Arabidopsis thaliana: one gene and its partners. The protein of the gene in region 3 purifies or fractionates together with the protein of the main gene of each other region. This does not show direct contact. Each region holds a gene or a part of one and is shown on either strand. Other genes may lie near its edges.

Region 1 (7,834 bases), on a different chromosome or scaffold from region 3:
GAATATAATAGTAAAACAAACAATTTAATTAAACATATTTTTTCTTTTATGTAATCCATTTAAATGTTCAATTGAATCCCAGTAGTCATTTTCCACAAGAACAAGAATTAGAGGACCAAAAGATGATATGCATTCCATGGTGTCTCAAAACAAATGGGCCTTTAGTTATAATGCCCACTTGTCTCTCCTACAATATATGGGCAGCACAGAACATTAGCAAGTGGCCGCTTAACATTAAAAGAAAAAAAACCAACTCAACGACCCCGTTCAACGATTTCATCTTCGTTCTTTAATTTATGAAAATTTACTTAAGATAAACAATTTAGTATAACATTTTTTTTATATTAATTAGGTTTTTTAATTTTGTAAGATCTTGAAATTTATTAGAACAATTTAAGAGTATATATAATGTAGAAACTGGTATGATAATACCCATATGTGACCAAATAAATAAAAATTTGATACCATTTGAACTAAAAACATTACAATTTAACTTATATGGATCTGATATGGAATATGAATACATATAAAAGCAAAAAATCTTAAAGTAATCAACGAGTCAAACTTTAGGTGGCTATATGATCAATATAAAAAAAAGGTAGAAGAAAAAGAAGAAAAAATCTTTTAGAAAAAAATAAAACTTTTAAGTGGCTATGTTTTGAGAGAAATAAATATTCAGCTAAGGAACCATATCTGCCAAATTAATCAAGTTTGACTTAACAATAACATGTGTCCAAAGTAAAACAATAACAATAACCAAAAAAAAAACATCCGCCTAATTACTGCCATAACCCATAAATGATAAAATGAATGACAGATTGTAATCCGTTATGAACAGCTCAATGTCTTCACACTCCTTCTTCTTTATTTATCCATCTTTCTATGCATTTCTGTAAAACCTAAACATTTACATACAAAACTTAATCCACATAAAATATTATAACCATGTCCAAGCGACGCATTTGCTGCATAGTTTCCGGAATCATCTTTGTCCTCTTCGTAATCTTCATGACCGCTTTGATCCTTGCACAAGTGTTCAAACCAAAACATCCGATACTACAAACCGTCTCTTCAACTGTTGATGGCATATCTACAAATATATCACTACCATACGAGGTCCAACTAAATTTCACTCTTACGCTGGAGATGCTGCTCAAGAATCCTAACGTTGCGGATTTTGAATACAAGACAGTGGAAAACTTGGTTTATTACAGGGATACACTAGTCGGAAATCTCACACTTCCTTCGAGCACATTACCTGCCAAAGGTTCAGTGCTTTTGCCATGTCCTCTATTTCTCCAGCTCGATAAATTTGTCGCGAATTTAGGTGATATCGTGCAAGATGTATTGCATGGAAAAATTGTGATGGAGACAAGAGCAAAAATGCCAGGAAAAATCACTTTGTTGGGAATCTTTAAGATACCTTTGGATTCAATATCGCATTGCAATCTCGTACTCGGCTTTCCTTCAATGGTAGTGGAGGACCAAGTGTGTGATCTCAAAACTAAGCTGTAAATAGTTTTTTCAGGTAAACATTTAGGCTTAAGAGAGCAGTTTAATTCTAGCTAGTTTCCTGTAATAATAAAGATTGTAGTGCTCTTGATCGCTGTTCTTTAATCAACTCCATTTTTGTGAGTTCTTGAAATTAAATGTATTCCTTTGAATTTGAAATAATGAATTTGATTCAAAAATCTGAATTATTTTATTTTTACCTCCATTTGAAAAAAGGAAAAATAGTGTATTATTATTATTATTATTTTATGACAAATAATTTGGAGAAGACTTGAAAACACGAAATCAACGGATAGCGACATCATGAAACAGAGTTAGAAAAGCGTGCCTCCTTTTTTTAGTATCTATCTTTCTCTCTTTCGGATCATTCTCTCCTCTGATTCCGAATCGGGTAAATTATTATGGATTCTTCTTCTTCGTCTTCCTCCGCCGCCGCACGCCGCCGTATCAACGCTATCCACTCTCACCTCGTCACCTCTTCTCGCTCTTCCCCTCTCCTCCGCTCCAATCCCACCGCCGGCGAGTTCTGTCTTGGTCCGTATTTCCTCATCTCTCTCTCTGATCTATACTAGTAGCTTCCTCTCGCTGCTGATTACTTGTCTTCTGATCGCAATCAGATAATGGCTATAGTGTTGTTCTTCCCGAGAAACTGAATACTGGCAGTTGGAACGTCTACAGGTTCCTTACGCTTCCTCTTCTTCTCTCCTTGTCTCCATTCCCTCTCTTAATATTTGTTTTTGTTTTGAATTCAATTTTTCAGATCTGCAAAATCTCCGTTCAAGCTCGTTAGCAGATTCCCAGATCATCCTGACATCGCTACTCTCCATGACAATTTTGAGTATGAATCAGAGTCTCCCGAAAGCTGATCATCTCTTCTATATCAATTCTTTAGTCATCTCTCTGATTGATACTGTTCTTGGGGTCTATGTAGGCATGCTGTTCATGATTTTCGAGATTACAAGTATTTAGGAACTCGTGTTCGTGTCGACGGAACTGTTGGAGAGTGAGCTCCTAACTTACTCAATCTATGTGTATCTGCAAGAAAGTACTTTCCTTGAAGCTAGTTTTCTTATGTGACTCTGTTTTGTTTTTTTCAGCTACAAATGGATGACATATGGAGAAGCTGGTACAGCAAGAACTGCTTTAGGTTCTGGTTTGGTTCATCACGGAATCCCCATGGTAAATTATTGGATTCTTACTCTCCTTCCTGATTGATTTTTAAGTTTGCAGCTAGACTCAAGTCTCTGTTTTTCTTCTACCAGGGATCTTCTGTTGGAATTTACTTCATCAATCGCCCAGAGTGGCTCATTGTTGATCATGCTTGTTCTTCTTATTCTTATGTGTCTGTTCCTTTGTATGATACTCTTGGTAAGTATCTGGTTGGTTCGGCGTATTATTTCCATTTCACAATTCGTGGGGTGTTCTAATTCTGCTCTTTGTTTTTGCTCAAGGTCCTGATGCTGTGAAATTTATTGTCAATCATGCAACTGTGCAAGCCATATTTTGTGTGGCAGAGACTTTAAACTCTGTAAGTTCTGTCAATCTCCTGCTTTAATTTCCTTCTCTTTTTTAAAAAATTGCTTACTTGGATGATAGTGAGAAAAAAAAAACAACAACCTTTTTTAGCCCTTACTCAAATGATGTGTATGTTGCTGACTGTTTTCTTTAAGTGCTTGTACTTTTGCTTAATAATCGTTTTTCTGATTTCTTTTTGCTTGCTTTCCTGCTTGATTTACTGCTGGAGATTTCAGTTACTTAGCTGTTTGTCTGAGATGCCAAGTGTACGCCTGGTGGTGGTATGAAGAAAACTCATCTTTTGTTATTCTTTTGAGGATTATGACTACAGTTTCCAAATTAATTTTGTCTTCTCTCTGTTCGTGATACTTCTCATGACCAAGTAGGTTGTTGGAGGGTTAATTGAATCTTTACCCTCGCTTCCCTCATCATCAGGAGTGAAAGTTGTATCCTATTCGGTGTTACTGAATCAGGTACTTGTATGATTTTGTAATTCAATATCCGTTTTCTGAATATAAACAGGATTAAGGACATTCTATCATTTAAGATATTGCAAGTTCTTACCAGTGCTATTATGAGTCTTATCCTGTTTATTACCAACCTAGGGTTCATCAACATTTATACATAACTGGGTACATATTAGTCATATATACACAAGTGTACTTCCACATCATTACGCTTTTACCTATAACTCAATTTTTTTTTTTTATATCAGGACTACTTCTACACCTTTCCCATATATCCATAATAGTTTTCTCATTGAGATAATATAGTCACCCAGTATCTTTCTCGCTGATAGCAGCACAGTTGTGGTGGTACATGTTGGTTTCATTGTTTTCTGACCAACAAATTTGTTTCAGGGTCGTAGTAACCCTCAGCGATTTTTTCCACCAAAACCCGATGATGTTGCAACCATATGCTATACAAGCGGAACAACTGGGACACCCAAGGTTTTACTTACTTGAAATGTTATCTTCATTTAGGGTAGTACTGTTCTTTATTTCATATTTACCCTGACTATAGCATCTAACTTACTGTTTATTTTATCCTGTATCCCTCATTCCTCCCTTGCCTGCTCTTCTTCTGGATGAAATATGTTAAAGGGAGTCGTATTAACTCATGCAAACTTGATTGCCAATGTTGCTGGCTCCAGCTTTAGTGTGAAGTTTTTCTCTTCAGATGTGTAAGCGCTTTACTTCTTTCTACTAATGGTTAAACATTTTCTGTGTTCTTCTTTGTATCTATTGCTACATGTATCTTAATTCTTAAAATTTCCATTCTTAAGTGGTCTTTGTTTCAGATAGACTATAAGTAACTAATTTTGTCAAAATTTCTTCTACTTTCCAGTTACATTTCGTATCTTCCACTTGCTCACATTTACGAACGAGCTAATCAGATCCTAACAGTGTACTTTGGAGTTGCTGTTGGATTCTACCAAGGGGTTAGAAACTGAACCTTCTCCTTTTAGGTTGCATTAAGTAACCATCATAGACCTATACACCTGTGATCTGGTCTTTGCTTATACTCTTCCTTCACTCTCAAACCATTTTCTATTGATTTGATTGGACGAACCACTTGCAAATTTTTCTGCAGGACAATATGAAACTACTGGATGATTTGGCTGCTCTGAGACCTACTGTATTTAGCAGTGTCCCTCGATTATACAATAGAATATATGCTGGGTAATATAATGGCTTTGGTTTGTTGATATGCGCTCTCTGCTGATTTTGAGAATCCACTGAATTAATGTAAAATTCTTGTTCCCAGTATCATTAATGCAGTAAAAACCTCTGGTGGTCTGAAAGAGAGACTCTTCAATGCTGCCTATAATGCAAAGAAGCAGGCTCTCTTGAATGGTATGTCCTGTCATACTTATTTACATTAAAATCAGTCTATGCAATTCTGTAGCTTTATTTTGTAATTTCTGACACAGATAAGGACTTTGATTACTGTCGAGTTCTAAGAGATGATAAAAAGTAAAAGATCCTTTATACAGTTTTTGGGTTTGATTTCCTTTGTATGGGTACTGTTGGTTCAGGAAAGAGTGCTTCTCCCATATGGGACAGGTTGGTATTTAATAAAATAAAGGACAGACTTGGAGGGCGGGTTCGTTTTATGACGTCTGGTGCTTCACCTCTCTCTCCTGAAGTGATGGAATTTTTGAAAGTGTAAGTTTATTGCTATTGAAATATTGTGTTCTGTCATATTATACAATAGACTTCATCCTCAAGAATGAACACTTTTCAGTCCCCACCAATCCCTCTCTCTCACTAGCTCATGCATAATTACAGTAGCTTTGGTTCCACATAACTTTTGTACATTAGCTTGTGATTTTCTTTTCCCTCTTGATTTAATCTTGTCATATGAATACTCCAGATGCTTTGGAGGAAGGGTAACAGAGGGATATGGAATGACTGAAACATCTTGTGTTATAAGTGGAATGGACGAGGGTGATAACCTCACTGGACATGTTGGCTCTCCTAATCCAGCTTGTGGTGAGCTTTTTACTGACTCTGCGATATGATAAGTAGAGTAATTTGGAACTAAATATCCATTTTAAATTGCTTTGGGATTTAATATGCATTTCTATATTTCAGAAGTAAAGCTTGTGGATGTCCCAGAAATGAACTATACATCAGCGGATCAGCCCCATCCCCGTGGCGAAATATGTGTTAGGGGTCCTATCATTTTTACAGGCTATTACAAAGATGAAATTCAAACGTATAAACACCTACTGCATTGGAAATTCCTCTTTCACTAACCAAAGTGTACCAAAAGTTTAATTATTTCAGTAAAACGTATTATTTTCAGGAAAGAGGTGATTGATGAAGATGGATGGCTTCACACTGGAGATATAGGTCTGTGGCTGCCGGGAGGACGTCTAAAAATTATTGACAGGTTTTCCAAAAAATCACTTGATTGTTATCAGCTGTTTCTTCACTAAAATCAAATCTCTTGGCTCACAAAGAATAAGCCTACTTCTTACTGATGATACAAACACTAAGAAATAACATCTGCAAAAGTCTAGGGAGTGCAAAGCTCTAGTCTTGGGTTACATTTTGGGGACTTGTTGGTATCTTTTGAATCGCGAATCATCTGAGTGAAATTTTCTGATCCTTTGAATAGAAAGAAGAACATCTTCAAATTGGCGCAGGGGGAGTATATAGCTCCAGAGAAAATTGAAAACGTCTATGCCAAATGCAAATTTGTGGGCCAGTGCTTCATATATGGTATAGTAAACAATTATAGTAAATTGTTTTGTATAACATTTTGCTTTATCCTTTCCCCATCTCACCTGTTACCAATTTTCAGGTGATAGCTTTAATTCATCATTGGTAGCTGTTGTATCGGTTGATCCAGATGTGCTGAAAAGCTGGGCAGCTTCAGAAGGCATTAAGGTGATATAACTTACGTCACCAAATTCTCTAAATGTAACATTAAAAAACTAACTTTATACCACTTTGCTGAATGTAGGGAGGAGATCTGAGAGAATTGTGTAATAATCCGAGAGTGAAAGCAGCAGTACTATCTGACATGGACACTGTTGGAAGAGAAGCTCAGGCAATACATCTCAGAAAACAATTTTCTGTATATCAGTTAGTTACTATTCTCAAAAACATGATGATTGATTTGGATGATAAAAATGTTTGGTGCAGTTGAGAGGCTTCGAGTTTGCAAAGGCTGTGACATTGGTGCTGGAACCATTTACTCTGGAAAATGGCTTGTTGACTCCGACGTTCAAGGTAAATTTCTTATATGAATATACTTCACTCAAACTAGCTTCAAAAGGTAAATTCTATCTTAGTTAGTGGAAAGGTTTGTTCGACATGGTATATGTTCAGATCGATTTACTCAAATTGAAAATGCCTAGTTCCTACTCCTATAATTAGTGTGGTTTAGTAAACATCATGCTGTCTCTCTTTTAAAATCGGTAAAAAAAGCATATCTGGATTGGATGTGGGATAATTAGCAAAACCAATTGTGAAAATGGATTGAGGCAAATGGATTTGATTGAATATTGCAGATTAAGAGACCACAAGCAAAGGAATATTTCGCAGAAGCAATAACAAACATGTACAAGGAGCTTGGTGCTTCTGATCCCTCTGCTAATAGAGGTTTGTGATGATGGTATAATCGTGTGATTAATAAAAAGCCTACGCAAAAGTTGTTTCTCCCACAAATTGTATTCTTTTTTGTTTTCTTGCTACATATTTATTGAATAGTAAAGGTAATAAAGGTGCTACATTACATTAATGAAACTTTCTTACAGTACAATGTTTTCCCTCTGTAATAAAAAGGCAAAACATTCCCAATTCTGTTTTATTGCGGATTCTTCGGCCTACCACGAAACGACGATCTCTGTCCGTACGCTGAGATCTATATGACAATATCTTTATGTTCGTATCCAAAACCCGAAACTACACATCCAAATAGATTATGTGCTTTGGATAAAAACCCAATCGTAAATGTTTAAAAGTATTCGATTTTGGAGTTTTTTCGGTTTAGGTATTGGAACAATCAACTTTAAAGGAACTATAGTCTGCGTAGCTTTAGTTCAGTAATATTTTAGCTTGGTCTTGATTTTACATATGTATTAATGTATAATTAGGTAAATCCGACTTTTGTTCCAAAAAAAAAAAAAAAAGCTAAATCCGACCATGTCTAGATTAAAAAATAATACGAAAAGGTTAAAAGAAAGGCAAAATATCAAATTTCATAGAGAAATATAAAAAGATGTGATATGATTGAATCATTTTCTGAAATATATCTTTCGTAAAATCTGCTTTTATAATACAAAAATTAATTT
Region 2 (6,874 bases), on a different chromosome or scaffold from region 3:
TTGCTTTTGACAAATGTAACCAATCAGGAGAAGCCGCGTCAGATGATATTGGTATCATAAATATCACTGGGCTGATACTGATCAAGCTCATTCTAATTGTTTTGTCAATATAAAAATAATTTTTGGACTTGTGATTTTCTAGAAATACCACCCATGTACATGGTCTAATGGTCATGAGTTCGATCCGGACTTGGCATTATTTTGTGTCAAATGTTTTTAGTTTAAATGAAACTACATAATTACGTGGTATTTTAAATTATAAATATATCATCCTAGTCAGCTGTTAACGGAACAGTAACACCGTCTAGCAATTTGAGGTTTTCTACCGAATTTTCATAGTTTGTGTTGTAAATTCAAATTAAATCCAAGTTCATGTAGTTATAAGCACATAAAAAGTTCGGTATATGAAAACGATAAAGCAACATGGTTCAGGGTGGAATAGGCTGTTCTCCCTATTCTAATAAGGCTTACTATTTCAACACTAGCGTTAGCCAAAGCAAAACTAAACCAAACTGTACGGACATGCACTGGTTTCTCAAACTTATGACCACACTCATCATCCATTTCAGGATTAGGACATAGTCTGCTTCCTTTATTCTGGAAAACAGTATCAAAGAAAATTACACCATGAATCTGTTTTATTTCAAATGATCGATCTACCTCATCCTAATCCGATCTTTTAACAGTTCTACAATTACCTTTGTAATACAAAAAAAAAGAAACACTTTTAAGCAAAGCAAAAAGCATCACAGTTTAGAAGGAATGGGGTTCGAGGCTGCGATTTCCGCATACATTTTGCTAATTGCTTCTGCAAAGTAGGCTTTTGCTTGAGGTCTCTTTATCTGTTAGAAAAGTTTTACCACACATGAATTAGAGATTCCGAGGTAAGTAACAAAAATTTCATTGCGGTTTCAACTTCACATTGTTGTTTAGTTACCTTGAATGTTGGTGTGAGAAGTCCATTCTCCAAGGTGAATGGTTCTGGCACCAAAGTCACAGCCTTTGCAAACTCAAACCCTCTCAACTGTATTAAGCACAAATTGTAAATTTGTTGAGTTGCTTGGTTTTCTAATCCCATTTTAGATTATTAAGGCAGGTTTTTTTTTTTTTACCTGAGCTTCTCTTCCAAGGTCATCCATCTCAGCAAGAACAGTCTTTCGCACTCTTGGATCGTTACAGAGCTGTCCTAGATGCTCATACTACAATCATCAAGAAAAGTTTGCAACACATTGATAAATTGCTTTTAAAGTCTCTAATAAGTGATGATATCATTGAGTTAGAAGATAATACCTTGATGCCTTCTGATGCAGCCCAATCTTTCATAACTTCGGGGTCGACTGAAACTATAGCTACTAGAGAGGAATTGAAGCTATCACCTATAATAGAGACATTCTGGCTCGGTTGAGAAATAGCACAAGTGAAGAAGAAGCCATGTATAGTGTGAGTAGAGTCTTTGCTTACCGTGAATGAAACACTGCGAAACGAATCTACATTTGGTATAAACATTTTCGATCTTCTCTGGTGCTATATATTCTCCTTGCGCCAACTTAAATATGTTCTTCTTCCTGTCATGCACATTGAAGTTTTAACAAACATTTCAACTTTTTCTTCCGCAAAGAAAGAAATAACAAGAATGTTTTGATTTATAAAACCTGTCTATGATCTTGAGCCGACCACCAGGTAACCACAACCCGATATCTCCTGTGTGTAGCCAGCCATCTCCATCAAGAATTTCTCTCCTGCTCAAGTAAATGTGTCAAGACTCATGTCCACTTATCTATACATATAACTAGAGCCACTAATGATACTGGAAAATGTGTTACGTTTGTTCTTCATCTTTGTAGTAGCCTTTGAAGATGATTGGTCCTCTTACACAGATTTCACCACGTGGGTATGGTTGATCGTCTGATGTGTAATTCATTTCGGGAACATCCACAAGTTTTACCTCTAAGAAAGAAAAAACATTTTCAAAACACAAAAACCAGTCATACAATTTGGATACAAAAGTTTGGATTCTGATATATACACTGTCTTTAAAATAACACATTGCTTACCGCAAGCTGGATTAGGGGAACCGACATGGCCAGATAAATTGTCACCATCATCCATAGCACTTATGACACAAGAAGTCTCGGTCATACCATACCCTTCACGCACCGAACATCCAAAGCATCTGTTCATCACGATGATCAAAGACCATATATTCTTTGTTAGTTTAGTTTCAGATTCTTAGAAATCAGTGAGAGTGGAATCACAGAAGAAAAGTTCAAACATAGCAAACCGAAAAGAAAACTTACATTCTCAAGAAATCCATGACATCAGGTGACAAAGGAGAAGCACCAGACCCCATAAACCGAACCCGTCCACCAAGCTTTTCTTTTATTTTGTTGAACACCAGCTTGTCCCAAAATGCAGAAGGAGTCCGCCCTGAAGAAACCAAAATGAGAAAGACAGATATAATGCAGAAAGCTTGAAACACGTATACTACTTAGTTCACTTTTCTAACTGTTTCTATTAGTACCATTAATGATCGCTTGCTTCTTTGAGTTATAGGCAATTTCGAAAAGCCTTTTTTTCACAACCCCAGATGATTTTACGGCACTTGTAATGCTGTGGAGATTAAAGTCAGCACATAGAAACCACATAGTTCCACAATACGTACTTGACATGGGAAGTATAAAGTGATTTTACCCATCATATATTCGATTATATAAGCGAGGGACACTACAGAATATTGTTGGTCTTAACACAGCAAAATCATCCATCAGCTTGAAGACATCCTGTCAAAGAAGTATATATATATATACATTAGTCTGATTTCGTAAAACAAGTTAATCTCATATGTCACAAGACATGAGCTTACATACCCCCTGATAGAAACCGACAGCAACACCACCATACACCCCCATAATCTGATTTGCACGTTCATATATGTGCGCCAAAGGAAGATATGATATGTAACTATAAATAGAAGACATCTGAGTCAAAGACTCTTCCATTAAAACTATGTGTGCCACTTCTGAAGGGAAATGTTCAACTCACACATCTGAAGGAAAGAATTCTGCTTCCACACTGGAACCAGCGACATTCGCGATCAAGTTTCCATGAGTCAACACAACACCCTTGGAAACAAAGAACATATGAAATCAACTATATAGTTGAGTATTTAGCTTTAAAGTGATTTATGCACCATTTCAACCAGAAGAAACTCACCTTTGGTGTTCCTGTGGTTCCACTTGTGTAGCATATGGTTGCAATGTCTTCTGGCTTTGGAGGCGAAAATGGATGTAAGCTACTTCGACCCTACAAGATAACCGGTGGCAACATGAAGTCTCTTTCACTACCAAGCAAAACTCATTACAGGAACAGAGACATCATTCACCAAGATAACAACACATGTTTAGTACTTTAGTTAAAACCCATTGTAAAAGGCTACCTGACTCAATAGCTTTTGGTATGATACAATTGTGACTCCAGTTCCTCGAGGAAGTGATGGCAAATGCTCATCAGCCCCTCCCACCACCTAATCACAGTGCAAAACATATTTATAAGTGGGAGTATATATTTTAGCTTACAGTGAAATTACATATTGGAGAAGTACATACCACAATGAGACGAATGGATGGGATTTCCGCTAGGAAGCTTAGCAACTGCAAAGTTCCCAACAAAAAAAGACAAACACAATTCATGATCGAAAGTGTTGCAATTTAGACTATACTTGAACTGATTCTCAGAAGATAATAGCTAGCACTTTAACAAACCAAAACACACTTACAATATTCAAGGTTTGTGGTACACAAAATATAGCTTGCAGATTAGCATGATTCACCACAAACTTAACAGCGTCTGGACCTGCGTAACCAGAAGAATCATATTAAGAAGAGACAAGGCTTGCAAAACTCGAAAACTAAAGAGAAAAAATCAAATTTAGATTGGTTACCAAGTGTATCATATAAAGGAACAGAGACAAATGAATATGCTGCACAAGCATGATCCACAACCAACCACTCTGGTCTGTTAATAAAATAGAGTCCAACGCAATCTCCCTGTTCCATTAAATGAAGAAACTTTTTCTTTACAAGAACCATAGCTGCATAAGTTTTACATTCAAAGTAGAGTGAAACATACTTGGTTAACTCCATGAAACAAGAGTCCTGAACCAATGGCTTGTCGCTCAGACGCTGCTTCTCCATATGTCATCCATGAATACCTTCATAAAAACATATCACAGAAACATAAAAACCTACCTCAGCTCAAAACTCCATAGCGAAAATCTCAAAGCAAAAGAACAGCTTTAAAACTCACTCTCCAATGGTTCCATCGGACCGAACTCGTGTACCAAGATACTTGTTTTCAGCATATGTTTCAACAGCATGTCTGATTCCACAAAAACGTAATGCCAGTCACAAACTAAAGCCAATCAATTTAAAACAACCTCAAAAGAAGTAATCATCAAAACATACACAAAATTGTCATGTAAAGTCCCGATTTCAGGATGATCCGGGAACCTACTAACGAGTTTCGTAGGCGATCTTTTAGATCTGTCACAGCCAAAAAAAAACAGAGATTCATAATCACACACACTTATCAAAAAACCAAACGTAACAACAAAGAAAGGACTGGTTTTTTAAAAACCTGTAGACATTCCATTTTCCAGTATCAAGCTTTTCTGGAAGCACAACACTGTAGCTATCCTCTAGAGAAAACAATCCAAAGCTCTTAAAAACTCAAGAAACAGAGAAAATTTCAAATTATGGAGAGACTAACTTTCAGGTAATTTTCAGGTGCTTTACCTTTAAAGAAAGGTGAAGCAGAAGAAGCGGTGGCGTTGAGGAATAGAGATGATGATTGATCGTTGGTCGGAGAAGTATCGATGTGAGATCGAATGGTTTCGAGACGACGTTGTTCCGGCGAAGCAAATTCCATCTTTTCTTCTTTCTTCAGAAAAAATGTCTTCAGGAATATACGAAATAAACCGATTAATTACCATTTTATAAAAATTCAACTTTAAAACAATGACGTCACAAATCTACTAGTATAGTAATAAAATTATGAAAAGTCAATTGAAAACAATTTTTTAGCTCACAAATCTACTATAGAAGAAAAGGAATAAAATCTTTGAATTATGAAAATGAGCATAAATATGTAAAACTATTGTGTGATGCTACGGCTATAAAATTCCATAAACAACATATTTTGGATAGGCGTTAATCATGTTTTCCATTTTTTTTTTAACACCTCACCAAAAACGCCTCATTTCACTAAAGTAATGTACTTTTGTTTCTCACATGTATTTTGCTTACGTCAAAATAAGGCACACTTCCCTATGTGGATAATTTACCATTTTTTTCAATAAAATTATTATTTGATCTTTTACCAACAAATGTTCATGTTGGTTATTATTGTAGACCATGAAACCTGTTGTTTTTGGCATTGCCAGAAGCAATAACCTGAATCTTTAAGTACCAATGTAGACTGGTTATGCTGTTTAAGTTCCCAGTTAAGTTCGGCTGCAACACAGAAGATGAACCAAATTCTCAAAAACTAGGCAAACGGAAAGATCTCCATCATAGTTTAAGTAACACAAGAGAATACATTGTGCCAACCTTGGTTACAGAACTTGTATGCTTTTAATTTTAGGGTAATTTGCAGGCCACACCCTTTGATCATGTTTTATTTTTAAGGACTGACAAAGTGAAAGGTGGTTTTCACGTTTTGTCTTTTCAGCTGAAATTTGATCATTTTGCCCTTGCTGCTACAGCAGAGAAACTGTTGAATGTACGGTTTAGTTAGTCAGGTTTAGTTAGGTATACTGTTCCGGTTTAATTGGAATTATTTTTGTTTCACGTTGAGGAGTACGACTGTACAGTTATAAGCTAGGTTGCATGGAAACTCGCTCTGAGGTGCGTTTCTCGTTTCCGAAACGTTTCGGAAACGGAAACTCTCCGGAAACACGAAAAACATCACGGAAACACGTTTCCTAAAAATCTAGGTTTGAAAACACGATGGAAACTTACGTTTCCAAAATAGAAACTCACGTTTCCGAAATAGACATACGACAAATTTTTTTTATTGACTTTAAAAATTTAATAACTAAAATTGAAAATATTAAAATTATTAATACATATAACTAATTTTGGAAGACTTTGAGTTTTAAGATCTTTTTTTGTTAAACCAGATTTGAAAAGAGGTTTATATTATCTTTGATAAAACTAATGAAAATGTTGGTCTAAATTAACTATTTGAACTTGAACCTTTTAATTTTTATCTTTTAGAATTTTAGTTTATTTATTTAATATTGATATTTTGGACTTGTATTATTTAAACCATTTTTTCTTTAATATAGTTTTATGTTAATGTTATATATATATATATATAATGTTATATATATATATATAATGTTATATATATATATATAATGTTATTTATATATATATATATGTATAAATGTGTATACGTTTCCAAAACGTTTCCAATCCCTAATTTTAAGAAAAAATTGTTTCCTGTTTCCGAAACGTTTCGTATCCGCGTTTCCGTTTCCGTTTCCGTTTCCATGCAACATAGGTTATAAGGGATATTTTTTCCATTAAAAACGAAATGACATCAACATTTAATGCCCAAAAAGTTTAGACGTGACTCTTGTTATAATTAATACAAAATCATTATTACATGTTATAATATTATAAAATTATTGATAATAATTGTTGAGTTAAAGATGAACCCAGGAACAAACATTAATTGCGAACAAACATTGATGCTCAAGAAGTGTTGATCTTGTTTATTTACGAAGTTTGGAGCCAAGATAAGCATTATCGTGTAAGTAATGAAGTTTTAAAGAATTTTTTTGTTATAACACACTATGATCTTCATTGTG
Region 3 (4,796 bases):
TCTTCTCTATCTTTGTATTTTTATATTTTAAATTTTGAAAAATTCGGCAAAATTTTAGCTGAGAAATGCAATAGAAAGAACAATTACTGGTGGATGGTTGGAAACTTTTTTTAAAAACTTCAATTGTATTTATAATAAATCGATAAATGTGGAATAAAATTTCATAATCTCATTATAATTGTCTCTTTTTTTTCTTTGTAAAAATTACAAATATGTTGTGAAATGTGGACGGCGAGAAGAATGAATTAATTAAATGTTTTTCTTGATAACCGCGAAAATTAAATGTTTCTGTTTGAAATAAAAAAAATATGAGAAGTCAAAAATTAAATAAGGTGGGGTCTACGGAATCGTAGAGTCGACGACTTTCGTGAGGATGGGGCATTTCGGTCATTGAAGGAGTTACCGACGGAACTGGGTGCTGTAGTGTTTTATTGACTTGTGTCGGTGGATTGGCGATTGAGTGTGGGGCGTATGGTGAGAAAAATGGGGCTTTTGTGTCCTAACGTGTTGTTGTATGGGCCACTCATTTCTCAAGGCCCATCACCTCACCTCATATTGTGCCGGAATGTTGTTTTAACTTTATGACGTGACGTGTGTATTATGAAACTGAAAATAGAGTTCCTCCAACTTTGAATCTATTTTACAATTTTATTATTATTTTTTTTTTTTGTCAAATCATAGAAATTACATGCACAACTATCACGACGATAGAAATTTATAAGCACAATTAGCCAAATAAAAAAATCGAGGAAAAAGTTTCTAAATGTAGGCAATGCCCAAATGTCATAAATAGCCTACTTATTTTGTCAATCTTGTCACTTAGAAACTCGGCACTTGTATAAAAACGTTTCATTCAACTTTTGGTATCACATGTACATTATTCAATTGTGAATTCCTAAATTTATTGTGTGCTGTGATAATTCACCAGATCAACCAGTTTAAAGACCCGTGAACAAAAATGCCCATAACATTTTTTTGTATTGGGTTTCAATCAAGTTAAGGCCCATTTTGGTTTAGTATACGGATTGTGTTGGGCGAAAGGAGTGATGTAATATGTACTTATCAGAAACAAAGTAGGAAGACATCACAGTATCACAACATTGATTTGTGTGCTTCAATCATGCGGTGTACAATTTGCACTTTTCCCACTTCACAAAATTCACACCTTAAATATCAATTTGTGAAAAGTATTGACTTTTAACTTTACCAAATTAAACTCTTTTAGTGAACAATCTTTAACAACCATTTTATTTCACATATCTGATGACTCAATAATTCGTGCAAATTTCAAATGTCCTTGTATATTATCGTGTTTGAATTTCAACTTTTTTTCCAAACATGAAATAACAATCCATGATTTTATTGCTAATATGTCTATCATATATTTAAGTTTACAGACCAATCACAATTTCCTCAATTAGAAAAAACAAACTTACCAATGGAAGGATAGCAGTGTATGTCCATAGGACTCGACACTTCTATACATAGTACTATTTGTATTCAAATTATACATAAAGGAAATAAATCTGTCTATACATGGTTTTAGTACCAAGTTTTTTAATAAGAAAAAAGAAACAATTGATAGTTTGATACATTACCAACTAGGCTAAGATATTTTATTTATTTTTACAGTACAGCGTTAACATTTTTTTTAACGAGAATGAAACGGTGGCTAGAGTTACCTGAGTAAAAAATCTAAAAAATAAGGTAAAAATATCTGATAGCATTCGTAACGAAATCAATTAGTACTAGACAAGAAGATGGTATAAAAATAGAAGAAAAGTAAAAAATGGCACGAGTGAATATGTTCGCACGTGTAAAATAAGCGTCATCATCTTCTCCTCTTCCCAAGTTTCGGCTCTCACTTTCTCTCGTTCTCTCTCTCTCTCTCTATCTCTATCTCTCGATTTGGGGGAGTTCCGTCACGGTGGACTAGTACGTCTCGTTGCCGTTGGTGGCGTAGTCGGAATTAATTTCCTCGGCGTTGAGATTCACATGGTCTAGAATTCTAGCTAAGTGGTTGTTGTTGTTGTTACGATTTCCGATTTCTCGAGTTTTTTTTTTATATTTAGCTTCTGTTTCGTTTATCCCTCCCGGAGACACTCCTTGGTCGAATCTCTCATGCTGAGGTAATTCGTCATGGATTTGTTTAATTGCATAAGCTTTTTTGCAATTGTCTAAGCTTTTATCGGTTTGTTTTGTTTTTTGATTTACGAATCTAGATTTTGCGCTTTCTTATGTATGTAATCAGGATCAAATTTGCTGGGTTGTTAAACAATTTTTGTCTGTGTTAGGATTCTAATTACGCGTGTTACTATACATGAATCATTTTCATTGTTTTTCTTCTTGATCCAAAAGTGTGAGAATCTTACTTTAGGCGTAATTCACATTTTTTGCATTAATTTCAACGGTTACACGTTTTTTTTCTTTGCTTTAGATTTGTTATAATTTGGTTGTTCTAATATTCATAACCTTGGAGTTTTGGTATTACTTCAGGTGTTTTGGACACTTGTTGTCAAGAAGAAACCAGTTTTGGTTCTGATTAATCGTTGGTTGGAAAATATACTCAATTCCAGGCCATGCCTTCACTTCAACTATTGCAGTTAACTGAGCGGGGTCGGGGTCTTGTAGCGTCAAGACGGTAACCATTTCCTTGCTCTTCATTGTATTCTAGATGGAAGTTTTTTTTGTTCGTTTGGGCTCAGATTTCATCTTTCTCTGTTTCATTCTTTAGGAAATCTATACTGCTTGCGGCTGGGATTGTAGCTGCTGGTGGAACTGCTGTTTACCTGAAATCAAGGGTCGCTTCCCGGAGGCCTGATTCTTCGCGTCTTTGCAATGGTCAGAGTGATGATGATGAGACTTTGGAAAAGCTGACTGCAACTGATCAAAATGCAAAGATAACCACGAAAAAGAAGAAAGGAGGAGGATTGAAGTCTCTTCAGGTTCTGACTGCTATTCTTCTCTCTCAGATGGGAAAAATGGGTGCCAGGGATCTTTTGGCACTAGTCGCCACCGTGGTATGCATTTCCTCTTAATTAATAAGTTTTTACTTTTGTTTTATGTTTTTGCCCAAGTCAGATAGATTTTCTGTCTGGTTGTTTAAGTTTGATCTCGTGCTGTTGCAAAGTCCTGTAGATATTCATGGAAATTCACAATTGCGAACCGTTGCTTTATTGTTATGGAATACCGGGTGTCTCTCTTTTTAGCTGAAAGAAACACCAATCTAACTTTACGGCCAATAGTCGGGAAAAGTCTGGTTACTTCTCTTACTTATGCGGGACTAGTACTCTTTCCAATCTGTTATTCTATAACTTGTAGGTTTTCAGAACAGCTTTGAGCAATAGATTGGCAAAAGTGCAAGGTTTCCTTTTCCGTGCTGCTTTCTTAAGGCGTGCGCCACTGTTTCTACGGCTCATCTCCGAGAATATTATGTTGTGTTTCATGCTATCAACATTGCACTCTACTTCAAAGTACATAACTGGGGCATTGAGTTTGCGATTCAGAAAGATATTGACCAAGATTATCCATTCACACTATTTTGAGGTAGCAACTGCCATCTCTTCTGCCATTCAATTGTTTACTATTTCTTTAGATACGAGTGTTTTTGACTAGTGAGAGTATCGAGTATACTTCAGACTGCTGGATATCTCTTCACTCAGTTTTAATTGTTGTTTTCAGAATATGGTATATTACAAAATATCACACGTGGATGGTCGGATTACGCACCCTGAACAAAGAATTGCCAGCGATGTACCAAGATTCTCCTCAGAGTTGAGCGATCTTATACTGGATGATTTGACGGCGGTTACTGATGGAATTTTGTATGCATGGCGCCTGTGTTCATATGCTAGTCCAAAATACATCTTCTGGATACTGGTGATTCATGTTTAATCTTCTATACTTCAAGATTGACCTTATGTTGGGCCATTTATGCTGCTTTTCCTTGTATCCGTTCACAGTACAATTCTTTCGGTCTGGTATCTATAAACTAACCTATACAATTGTTGTGTAGGCCTATGTACTGGGGGCTGGGACGGCGATAAGAAACTTTTCTCCTTCTTTTGGGAAATTGATGTCCAAGGAACAGCAGTTAGAAGGAGAGTACCGGCAACTTCATTCACGCTTAAGGACTCATTCGGAAAGCATAGCATTCTATGGTGGGGAAACCAGGGAAGAATCTCATATACAACAAAAGTTCAAGAATCTTGTTAGCCATATGAGTCACGTGCTTCATGATCACTGGTGGTTTGGTATGATCCAAGATTTTCTGCTGAAGTATCTTGGGGCCACAGTTGCAGTTATTCTGATTATCGAACCATTCTTCTCTGGGCATCTAAGACCTGACGACTCGACCTTAGGAAGAGCTGAGATGCTTAGCAATATAAGATATCACACTAGTGTCATTATATCTCTCTTTCAGGCGTTGGGAACACTTTCTATAAGTTCCAGGCGGCTCAACCGACTCAGGTAATGCTTTATGTTGGATCTCATGTCAGACGCTTAAATGGTGAATACTGTTTAGCTGTTTCTAATTATTGGAATGTTGTTGCTTCCGGCAGTGGTTATGCTGACCGAATCCATGAGTTGATGGCTGTCTCAAGAGAACTCAGTGGTGATGATAAATCGTCTTTCCAGAGAAATAGAAGCAGAAATTATCTAAGTGAAGCTAATTATGTAGAGTTTTCCGATGTCAAGGTAGTTGGAATAGATTCATGTTACTGTAATCCTTTCCAAAATGTCGTGTTCTTAATGTTTCTTAACACACTCTAGGTTGTTACTCCAACCGGAAATGT

What was found.
Region 1: the proteins of ABCD1 (region 3) and LACS6 purify together in Arabidopsis thaliana (affinity purification with western blotting, with the first as the bait; one study listed by BioGRID). This does not show direct contact.
Region 2: the proteins of ABCD1 (region 3) and LACS7 purify together in Arabidopsis thaliana (affinity purification with western blotting, with the first as the bait; one study listed by BioGRID). This does not show direct contact.

The regions. Positions count from the first base shown.
Region 1 is NC_003074.8:1,785,826-1,793,659, reverse strand, and holds LACS6 (long-chain acyl-CoA synthetase 6), read left to right. Parts: upstream 1-1,772; 5' UTR 1,773-1,913; coding exon 1,914-2,046; intron 2,047-2,129; coding exon 2,130-2,190; intron 2,191-2,272; coding exon 2,273-2,350; intron 2,351-2,443; coding exon 2,444-2,515; intron 2,516-2,609; coding exon 2,610-2,691; intron 2,692-2,774; coding exon 2,775-2,880; intron 2,881-2,963; coding exon 2,964-3,040; intron 3,041-3,263; coding exon 3,264-3,308; intron 3,309-3,413; coding exon 3,414-3,500; intron 3,501-3,887; coding exon 3,888-3,977; intron 3,978-4,130; coding exon 4,131-4,210; intron 4,211-4,374; coding exon 4,375-4,468; intron 4,469-4,620; coding exon 4,621-4,709; intron 4,710-4,794; coding exon 4,795-4,883; intron 4,884-5,065; coding exon 5,066-5,195; intron 5,196-5,403; coding exon 5,404-5,522; intron 5,523-5,624; coding exon 5,625-5,748; intron 5,749-5,838; coding exon 5,839-5,925; intron 5,926-6,153; coding exon 6,154-6,257; intron 6,258-6,339; and 9 more. Other genes in the region: AT3G05975 (Late embryogenesis abundant (LEA) hydroxyproline-rich glycoprotein family), read left to right, coding at 946-1,515. UniProt on the Arabidopsis thaliana protein: Activation of long-chain fatty acids for both synthesis of cellular lipids, and degradation via beta-oxidation. Preferentially uses palmitate, palmitoleate, oleate, linoleate and eicosenoate as substrates. Can use myristate and linolenate as substrates.
Region 2 is NC_003076.8:9,740,668-9,747,541, reverse strand, and holds LACS7 (long-chain acyl-CoA synthetase 7), read right to left. Parts: upstream 5,051-6,874; 5' UTR 4,927-5,050; coding exon 4,794-4,926; intron 4,697-4,793; coding exon 4,636-4,696; intron 4,542-4,635; coding exon 4,464-4,541; intron 4,378-4,463; coding exon 4,306-4,377; intron 4,211-4,305; coding exon 4,129-4,210; intron 4,047-4,128; coding exon 3,941-4,046; intron 3,853-3,940; coding exon 3,776-3,852; intron 3,651-3,775; coding exon 3,606-3,650; intron 3,524-3,605; coding exon 3,437-3,523; intron 3,304-3,436; coding exon 3,214-3,303; intron 3,123-3,213; coding exon 3,043-3,122; intron 2,962-3,042; coding exon 2,868-2,961; intron 2,781-2,867; coding exon 2,692-2,780; intron 2,611-2,691; coding exon 2,522-2,610; intron 2,428-2,521; coding exon 2,298-2,427; intron 2,174-2,297; coding exon 2,055-2,173; intron 1,948-2,054; coding exon 1,824-1,947; intron 1,740-1,823; coding exon 1,653-1,739; intron 1,566-1,652; coding exon 1,462-1,565; intron 1,377-1,461; and 9 more. UniProt on the Arabidopsis thaliana protein: Activation of long-chain fatty acids for both synthesis of cellular lipids, and degradation via beta-oxidation. Preferentially uses palmitate, palmitoleate, oleate, linoleate and eicosenoate as substrates. Can use myristate and linolenate as substrates.
Region 3 is NC_003075.7:18,486,641-18,491,436, forward strand, and holds the start of ABCD1 (peroxisomal ABC transporter 1), read left to right. Parts: upstream 1-1,793; 5' UTR 1,794-2,129; exon of another isoform or gene 2,130-2,496; 5' UTR 2,497-2,579; coding exon 2,580-2,641; intron 2,642-2,734; coding exon 2,735-3,020; intron 3,021-3,321; coding exon 3,322-3,546; intron 3,547-3,681; coding exon 3,682-3,879; intron 3,880-4,015; coding exon 4,016-4,470; intron 4,471-4,562; coding exon 4,563-4,698; intron 4,699-4,773; coding exon 4,774-4,796. UniProt on the Arabidopsis thaliana protein: Contributes to the transport of fatty acids and their derivatives (acyl CoAs) across the peroxisomal membrane. Provides acetate to the glyoxylate cycle in developing seedlings.